2 linked regions of the Arabidopsis thaliana genome follow. The protein of the gene in region 1 purifies or fractionates together with the protein of each later gene. This does not show direct contact. Each region holds a gene or a part of one and is shown in the gene's direction. Other genes may lie near its edges.

Region 1 (4,649 bases):
CTTATTGGTTTTGTTCTCTCTATGCTCTATGTTAGAATGAAGGCACATTTCGATAACATTCAGATGATTGCTGATACTACTACATTGCCTCACGCAATTCATCACTTGAGTAGTCGTGTAGTTGAAGAGATTGATGTCTCGAGTATTATGGATAAGCTAAGCAAAGGCAAAGGAATATTGATTCCTTCTGAGAAGCTTCAACTCTGGAATGAGCTCAAAATTTTGAGTGCGTTGTTGTTCCCTTACTTGTACTTCTCGTGCTCTGTGGCAACATTGGATCTTCTCATTAATCAATCTTTTTAAATGTGTTTCCTTGTGTTCAGGTTTCACGAGAATGGTCTTGTCCCTTTGGTCGGTCACTATGCTTAGTTTGTACATTAGGGTTCAAGTCAATATTTTGGGCAGACATTTATATATCGACACTGCTAGAGGTCTTGGGAGCTCCCATTTACTTGTAAGACATTTTACTTTTCTCTTTTTATTGTCTTAAGAATCATTGTTAAGCTACTTCTAGCAAATTGGTCATTCTGATAAAATTTTGTGTACTTTCATTCTACTTGTTGCATTGTATCTTGAGATATCAAAATTTCAAATTGAGATTTCAAGGGGTAGAAGTTGATATTTTGCATCTTTTCCTTTCAAAATTATCGAAATTAGTGTATTCATTGGTCTTAGATATAACTCTTGGCTGGATTACCACAATCTTTACCAACGTCATTTCCTTGATATGTTTTTTTCTCAGGACGAACTAGATCTCATAGAGAGAGATGATGAACAAAAGTTTTTGACAAGCGCTGATTTTCTTGCGACCAGTGGCATGCCGAGTTTGATTTCTAACATGCAGAACGCAGTGAAAGAAGTTCTCAAGGGGTAATTTACATTACAAACCTACTTATCAAAGATGTCTCCCTTGTTTCTCATCCTTGAAGATTGATTTTATGGTGCCTCAAACTCAAATGCCTATGAAGAATCACTATACTTTTATGAACGTATAGCGAAATCTAACTATGTGTGTTTAATTGCAGAAAGCAGTTAAAGGATGTGTTAACCACAAGTGCTCTTCGAGAAACTGTGATGCGGATTCTCGATGTGTTTATGAGCACAGGAAGTCCACACCACTGGGTAGATTATCTAATGATGTCCCAAGACGCAACCACTGATGTTTCCTCTTCTGATGCAACTGTTACCAAGTTTCATCTACTCATAACCGAGACACGGGAAGTACTCACAAGGTAAAAAAAATCTCTGCTCTTTAACCCGCAAAAGACGAACAATTTCACTTCTTTAAAGCCTTGTCCTCGTTTCTGCTTCAATGCTCAAAGCAAGAATGTTGCAATGTAGCCTGTTAAACATTTCTTGGTCTTGTTTTCATGTTGCAGCAATGATTTTTCAAATGTAGCAGAGATCTCACTCAAGTGTTGTGCCGTTGCGTTAGTAGAGGAGATGGAAACGCAGACCGGTCTGGCCACAGGGATGCAATTGGCAAAGCTATTACCACAGATTGAGAAAACCATGCCGGAGATTTCAGCTGAGCCGGAGAAGAACCGGTTCTTGCAACTCATCCGAGATTTGCCTGAAGTTAAACTCTTTTTTACTCTTTTATACGCAAATATGCCTCAGTAGCATTATTAAACCCCATTGCCAAAAATTGTTTCCTGATCACTTTTTATCATATGTTTCGATTTACTTCAAAATAGTAAAACCAAACATCTCTAGAATAATTGTTCAATATCTATATCAAATCATTTACTAATATAGTAATATTGCAGCAACAAAAAAGGACACCGTGTATTACATATCTTTCAGTTTTTAGGGCCCTAGAAGCCCAAGGCCCAATAAAACCGGGTCGGTGATATTAACTTCTTCTTTTTTATTAACTTGGGTCTCTCCATCTTTCTCAGTTCTCACTATCTGGACACTTTCGATTTCTGAAGTTGAGAGACGACTATGGCGACGAACAATGGTGATGTCTTGATGTTGGAGGCGACGCCGGAGGCTGCGAGGCCCTGGGCTAGTGCGGCGAATGCAGAAGTTATCGATGCGCTTCCTTATATAGACGACGACTATGGCAATCCATTGATTAAGTCGGAGGTAGACCGTTTGGTGGAGGAAGAGATGCGTCGGAGCTCTAAGAAGCCAGCTGACTTTCTAAAGGACTTGCCTCCTCTTCCGAAGTTCGATTTTAAGGTGAATTTCACTGTGAATCCTTTTATCGATTTGTTTGTTCGTTTCTCTAGCTAGGGTTTGGAAATTTTGTTGGATTAGGGTTTAAAGGGAATTTGGTGAATTCCAATCTTTTGGTTTCTGGGTTTTACTTCATCTTGGACTTTATAGGAGTGAGTGTTGATTTTGGGTTTGTTATGATAGGGTTCTTGTTCTCTTCTTCTATTCGTTTTCTTAACGGAGAGAAAAGAGGAGCATAGTGTTTAGTGATTTATCTAAGGTTCAATTAATTTTAGTTTAAGGGTTCAGAATCAACTAGAATCTTAAGATTGAATGGAATCCTCATGAGCAACTGGTCTTGGTAGTAGAAGTTTTATGATCTTGTAGCTAGTTTTATGATTTAGGTCTAAAGGTATTGATTGATTTGTCGCTTTTGTTTTGTTGAAAACGAATGTAGAACTGCCCTGTTCTTGGCAAAGAGTATGAGCGTGTTAGAGCTGGGAAGCCTCCTGTGCGGATAGATTTCGAATCCCGATACAAACTTGAAATGCCACCTGCCAATAAGAGGAATGATGATGCTGCCTGGAAGCAGTATCTTCAGAAGAATCAACGGTCATTGCAACAGAAGCTGATTGAGTAAGCAAAGTTTCTGATTTTTTCTAATACATGATTCTCTTCTGTATATACTGGGTTTTCCTGTTTTAAAACGTGGATTTTTTTCATTCACAGGCTTGAGAATTTGGAATTGATGTCAAAACTTGGCCCCGAGCTTTGGAGACAGAACAACCATCGCCTTGAAGTATTTTTGACCAGGTTTGTTCACATTTGTATATACTGCAGCATTGATTGAATTTGAATGAGTAAAAGGGTTTAAGCTTTTTGGTTGATGGATTGTATATATCCTAGATGATCTGCTGAAGCATTATTGATATATATGTTGTCCCTCTTGCTTGCATAATATGCTTCTTTGGCTGTAGTACACGAGATTTGCCTTTCGTTATTCTTCATGTGCTTTCTGCTTGAAAGTTTCTTTGTTTCCTTTAAACATAAGAAAGGTCTTCGTGAGCTTGTAACATGTCATTCTTTATAAAACTGTACCCAGTCTCTGGCTTTTGGAACTTAACCACAGTGAGATTGATTTCAACCCTCTATTTGAACCCTATTTGCAGAATGCAAAGACTAGCACAGGAGCAGAATGAGGAAATTGAAAAAGTAAATCGGGAAAGGAAGTATCATCAGGTGACAACTCTTTTGAATTATCTTCATCTTCTTCCTTGCACTTTTCTGTTTGGTTTACGGGGTAATCTAAAACTTTGTTGTGTGGCCATTATCAGCAAACCACATCATACGAGCTCAATGCTCTATCTCAAGAATGGAGACAGCTCTGTGTTAAGAATATGGAGATTCAGTCTGCTTGTGCCATGCTTGAGACACAGATCGATTCGTTCAAGAAAGAAGCTGCTGAAAGGTGAGGAAAATGTTGTCTTACTTCTTTATATCACTCGTAAGAGTTGAATTTTAAGCGTAAAACTGAAACTCGTGGGGTTGTGTGTTTCAGGGGTTGGAACTTAGAAGAGAAACTAGAGAACGTCGAGCCACTTCAAATGCAATGAGGCGCCTCCCTTGCTCTTAAGTAACATAGGTTCAGAGCAAAACAACTGTTGGTCAGTTTGGTTTGAGTTGTGGGTTAAGAGAATCAAAGACGAGACAGTTTCAGTTATTTGCCAGTTTTGTGAAATCCTCTGCTCTCCTGTCAAGTGGTGTGTGGGACAAGTAATTGCTTTTGAAAGTATCGAAACTCTTTAATTTATCGAGCATAACGTTTACGATTTGAAATACAATATAAATTTTTGTATTTAGAAACATATATTCTCTCTCTATATTAAGATGTTGCATCCCTTATTCTCCTATAATCAGAATGCAGAAAAGCTCCTCCGTCCATTTTTTTCTTCTTGGATAGATTCAAACCAATATAATATGGTTCTTCCATGATATTACTTCTTGTGGTTTCGTGTGGTACAAATTGAATTTTCTACTCAAATTTGAATATATCCATGCATAATGCATAATGCATTGTATTGTAAATGATCCTTGAGCTTCCCTTTGTTTAATGTTAATTAGACGCACAAAAAAATGTATAGATAAAAGTTAAAGTGACGGAGCCATTGCTCATAAACATTATTTTTCTTAATCTTATACCAATTTTCACAAAACATAAAAATTATGCATTTCCTACCGACTACCAATCCTTTAAATAAATATATTTGTATATACGTATTTGACATAATTTTCAATTTAAATATTACAATTAAACCAAAAAAAAAAATCACATATTGGAAGGTGCACACGTACGTCGTCATGCGACCCACCAACGAGGCTATAAGACACGGAACTCGTTAGAATGTCTCTTTCCTACTTAACAACCTTCTTATATTGCCTTTTAACAAAGAAAAAAAATCCTTCCTATATTGCTATTATTATTATGA
Region 2 (5,081 bases), on another chromosome or scaffold:
CAGCCTCGGAAAGAGCTGTTTGGAGGGTTTGGAGGAGGAAAGAGAGAATGTTGGGGCTTATGTTGATGGAGATGGATAGTTTTAAGGAGGTAAAACATGCATCTGGATATGGTGTGTTTTTGCAGAAACTTGTAGCAGAAGTTTCATGAGGGTTTAGAGAAGGTTGATACGAATACGAGAAAACGGAAGGAGTGAAGAAGAGGAGGAATAATAGAGAAGAGAGATTGAAAGAGGAGAGCGCCATTTGAGAAGAAAATGTTGAAGGCTTGGAGCAAGTAGAGAAGAGACTGCTATGTTTTTAAAAGTACAAAGGAATGGGTTTACTTAATGTTTTGTTTAGTCTTCGTTAGACGACAAAACAAATATCTTTTTTGGTTGAATATTCGATCGATCGTGTTTAAGTAAATATAGTATATAGAGAAAACGATGTCTCTGATTGTTGTTTAATTTGGATTTTGATTTTGTTAGTAATAAGATCACATTCACATCGGTTACTATTTTAATAAGATCTGTAAGATTGAAACAATCTCTCTTTTAACGATAACTACGAGGAACCATAACGTTTCAGGCAATGGTTTTAGACTTTTAGACCCAACCCAGTCACAATTGTATATTTTGATCATACGACACTTGGTCCTATCCAGTCCCGGCTCAATTCATTATGGGACCTATTGCAAAACTCAAAATAAAATAAAATTTCTTAGTAAAATTTTTTTTTGGAAAAATTGGGGCTTTTTAGTCTTAACAATTTTTTTGAAATTGATTAGTAACGGCATTTGCCTACGATGTGAAATATAAGTTTGATACATAAATAAAGTAATGATTGATTCTTGAATTGCTTTTTGTACTTCTAGATCAGTATTGATTACTTTATTTACGAGAAAATAGTTCATTTAAGCACATTTATAGAAAAATGTTAAGTAATGTTAAATAGGATAGTCCGATTAAACCTATTAATTATGCAAATTTTCTTTCAAATAAATAGGTACCCATAAAAGGCCATTTTAATTTCTAACTTAACTACAAATGACATCGTTTATGTGTAGAGTTTGAGATTTCACATTAAAATTCTGATTTCAAACAAACTCTTTCTTCTTCACTATAGTGTCTCGATTTCGATCTTATCTTCTTTCGAACTTCGACGAATCTCGAAATTTGATATGAATTTTGAGTACCTTTACTGTAATTTTGTGTTTTATTTCTGGATTTGGTAGTTCGAATCTAAGAGCATACAAAAATTATGGGCTGCATTTGTAACTTTTGATTTGAATATATTTTGCGGGTCTAGCAATCAAATATTTTATTTTCCAAATTGAAAATTATAAATTTGTCGTGTTGTCTCCCTGAATGTTGGCAACACATTTTAAAATTTAGATGCATGATCCATCAGAACTTTTTATCGAAATTTTTAATTTTAGATTATTTAACATCTATGGAAGGAGCAGAGACATCACCACAGTTCAAACAATCGATCTCTTAATTAGTTAATTACATGTATCATCGAATCCTAAAAACATTTTTCTTCCTTCCTAAGCCCAATAAGGGCCTAGTTAGAGTAGGCCCAATTATTTTATTTTCTTCCTTTTTGCTAATTTCTCTTCTTTTTTTTCCCTCACTTCTCCAACAAACTCGATTTCCCGATTTCGTCGCCTCTTCTCGTCTCTCCGCTCTCCTCGCCGCGAGTCTGTTTCGCCGCCGTCTATCTCCCAATTCCGGTACATCCTAAACCATTTCCCCTTTTAATCCAACCTGTGTTGATTTCTAATCGCGATTAATCTCAGTTAGGTTTAATTGCTTGATCTCAGTTGAAATTAGGGCGTAATCTCATTACTAAATGTAGCAAAAATCGACAATATAGTCTCGTCTCTCTGTTATAGCAATCAATTTGTGAGATTCTGAATTTTGGCAGAATCCTAATTCTGAAGTTTGGCTAATATAGAACCTGTAATTGTGTTTTTTCATTTATGAGATGTTTTATTAACTTTGTTAGTCACAAATTGATTTCATGTGTATAATGTTCATTATTTCGATTTTGTTCTCGTATGCGATATTACGTTCTTGGCTGTGATATCTGAAGTAAAGCTGTTGTAATCTAAGTTTTTCTTCTCTTGATTTTAAACAGTGACCGTTGTTGTTTAGTGAATCGATGATTTACACTGCTATCGACAATTTTTACCTATCCGACGAGCAGCTGAAGGCTTCACCTTCGAGGAAAGATGGGATAGATGAAACAACTGAAATCTCTCTTAGAATCTATGGATGTGATCTCATCCAAGAGGGTGGAATATTGCTCAAACTGTATCCTTTTTCTTGGTCTAATTATTAAGCAAGACTCAAATGTTACGTAGCTGTGATTTTCTTAACTTAGATTGTTTATTTTAGACCACAGGCAGTTATGGCTACTGGGCAGGTTCTGTTTCAGCGATTCTATTGCAAGAAGTCTTTGGCTAAATTTGATGTCAAGGTAAATTATTTTGTTTCTTTCTTCTAGTTTTGTGTGTTTATGAAAGTATGATAATTCTTTAGGAGTGTATATACTCCTGCCTATGACCATAATGATTTGATATGTAGTTTAATTTTTACAGATAGTTGCTGCCAGCTGTGTATGGCTTGCATCAAAACTGGAAGAAAACCCTAAAAAAGCTAGACAGGTCATCATCGTATTCCACAGGATGGAGTGTCGCAGGGAGAACTTGCCATTAGAACATCTGGATATGTATGCCAAGGTTAGTTTGCAATTGCATTTGTCATATTGAATGTTTTTTTTCGTATATTTTGTTTCTACTCATGGGATAGCTTTATTTGGAAGTACTTTTATGGGATCTCATCTTTTTTCCTACTTGTTAAATATCTGCAGAAGTTCTCTGAGTTGAAAGTTGAATTAAGCAGAACTGAGAGACATATACTGAAAGAGATGGGTTTTGTTTGTCATGTTGAACATCCTCACAAGTTCATATCAAACTACCTTGCCACATTAGAAACACCTCCAGAATTGAGGCAAGAAGCTTGGAATTTGGCCAATGATAGGTAATCTCTATTCTCAAAATCCTAATATGGATATTATTTCATATGATTTCCTAATAGTTAGCTACACATCATAGTGTTGATAGGTTTTAGAGTTGATGTTTATCCTGAAGCTTGGCATTTCTCCTGTTCTAGTTTGATTTTGAGTATGTTTGTTATACTTTCTCAATATCTGATAATTCCTTTATGATTTTATCTTAATCTCATGATATGTCTATAATGCAGTCTGCGTACAACCCTCTGTGTAAGGTTCAGAAGTGAGGTTGTGGCTTGTGGGGTAGTGTATGCTGCTGCCCGTAGGTTTCAAGTACCACTCCCTGAGAATCCGCCGTGGTGGAAAGCATTTGATGCAGATAAATCTAGTATTGACGAAGTGTGTAGAGTTCTTGCTCATTTATACAGTCTTCCAAAGGCTCAGTATATCTCTGTTTGCAAGGATGGGAAGCCATTTACATTTTCTAGCAGATCCGGGAATTCTCAAGGTCAATCAGCGACAAAGGTGAGGTAGATCGCTTTCTTGGTTTTGTAATTTTTGTGAAAACATGAGATTATTGTCCATATTACTGCTATTATAGACTCTTAAAGTTGAGTGCGTTTCTTACACAGTAGTAAACAGAGTTTCTACCACCACATTGCATGTTATATAGTATTGAAAAAGGGCTGTCTACTTTATTATTTCGGCTTGGGAAAATCTGCAATCCAAGTGCATTTTCTATGTCTGTAATCAGAGCTAGGTTTGAAGTGCTTTTAACACTGTTACAGGATCTGTTGCCGGGAGCAGGCGAGGCTGTTGATACTAAATGTACTGCAGGATCAGCTAATAACGACTTGAAGGATGGAATGGTTACTACACCACACGAAAAGGCTACAGATTCCAAGAAAAGTGGTACCGAGTCAAACTCTCAGCCAATTGTAGGAGACTCAAGCTATGAAAGAAGTAAAGTAGGAGATAGAGAAAGAGAGAGTGATAGAGAGAAGGAACGAGGTAGAGAGAGGGACAGGGGTAGGTCTCACAGAGGCAGAGATTCTGACAGAGACAGTGATAGGGAGAGAGACAAACTCAAAGATCGAAGTCATCATCGGTCAAGAGACAGATTGAAGGATTCAGGTGGACATTCAGATAAATCAAGGCATCATTCTTCTCGGGACCGTGACTACCGCGACTCATCGAAAGACCGTCGTAGGCACCATTAAGCCAATCTTCTTGTCATCTACATCCCCTTGAGCCTACTTGATGTTAAGACAGTATAGTGTTGTATTGTGTTAAGAGTCAAAACCCATGTGTACTTAATCACATGCTAAGATCACGTTGGTTCGACATATAAAATCGAGAAAGTCTGATATGTTTCTAATTTGGAATTTTGTGAAAAGTGCCTTAAACTTTGGAAAAGTGGTTTTTTGACTTTTGACTTGTGAGTTGTTGTGACCGAGCAGAGAGGAGAATAATAGTATCCAAATCTGACTTGTGGCACATGATGGTAGGCTTAAAGCACGTTCAAAAGCATTTTTTATATCATTACTTACTTGTCTATTAGCTCCACCTATAACTATCGCATATTCTTAATACCGATATCGAACCATGAACTAGATCTTCTAGCTAAACACCTACATTATTAATGGTTTATAAAATTAGTATAAAGATTGATGATGATCAAGGCCAGCACGTAGTCTTGTTGCCGGCTACATAAATAATCAAAACAAATAGCTAATACGCATCTAACGGATACATTTTCATCGTTGAATTGTCGATTTTATCTCCTTCGAAAAAGAGTTTCGCCAATCCTAACATTCTGATAAATCTTTCATTCGACCATACTCTGTTTTCAAGATTTTCATCAAGTTTATGAATTTGGGTCTTCACTTCTATCATCACACTATCTTATTTTCTGAACTCCTTTGTCATGGCGGTTGACCATACATCAATTTCACTTCTATTACTCAGGTAAAAAACAATTTGTTTGTTTTCTGAGAATTTTGATGTGTTGATTCTCATGCATTACTTCTTGATATGGGTTCTTGAATAGTCCATTTGATCATTTCTTTTCTCAGTCAACGAA

Evidence for each region.
Region 2: the proteins of MOS4 (region 1) and RCY1 purify together in Arabidopsis thaliana (affinity purification with western blotting, with the first as the bait; one study listed by BioGRID). This does not show direct contact.

What each region holds. Positions count from the first base shown.
Region 1 is NC_003074.8:6,221,301-6,225,949, forward strand, and holds MOS4 (modifier of snc1,4), read left to right. Parts: upstream 1-1,824; 5' UTR 1,825-1,947; coding exon 1,948-2,187; intron 2,188-2,620; coding exon 2,621-2,799; intron 2,800-2,892; coding exon 2,893-2,976; intron 2,977-3,332; coding exon 3,333-3,402; intron 3,403-3,497; coding exon 3,498-3,631; intron 3,632-3,721; coding exon 3,722-3,776; 3' UTR 3,777-4,103; downstream 4,104-4,649. Other genes in the region: PEX3-1 (peroxin 3-1), read left to right, coding at 36-226, 324-454, 743-870, 1,026-1,232, 1,380-1,623. UniProt on the Arabidopsis thaliana protein: Component of the MAC complex that probably regulates defense responses through transcriptional control and thereby is essential for plant innate immunity. Involved in mRNA splicing.
Region 2 is NC_003071.7:11,242,570-11,247,650, reverse strand, and holds RCY1 (arginine-rich cyclin 1), read left to right. Parts: upstream 1-1,592; 5' UTR 1,593-1,715; intron 1,716-2,122; 5' UTR 2,123-2,146; coding exon 2,147-2,298; exon of another isoform or gene 2,299-2,382; coding exon 2,383-2,464; intron 2,465-2,585; coding exon 2,586-2,726; intron 2,727-2,857; coding exon 2,858-3,027; intron 3,028-3,249; coding exon 3,250-3,523; coding exon of another isoform or gene 3,524-3,528; intron 3,529-3,786; coding exon 3,787-4,218; 3' UTR 4,219-4,523; downstream 4,524-5,081. Other genes in the region: AT2G26440 (Plant invertase/pectin methylesterase inhibitor superfamily), read right to left, coding at 1-244. UniProt on the Arabidopsis thaliana protein: Cognate cyclin for CDKG1. Required for synapsis and male meiosis, and for the proper splicing of specific resistance (R) genes. Involved in regulation of DNA methylation and transcriptional silencing.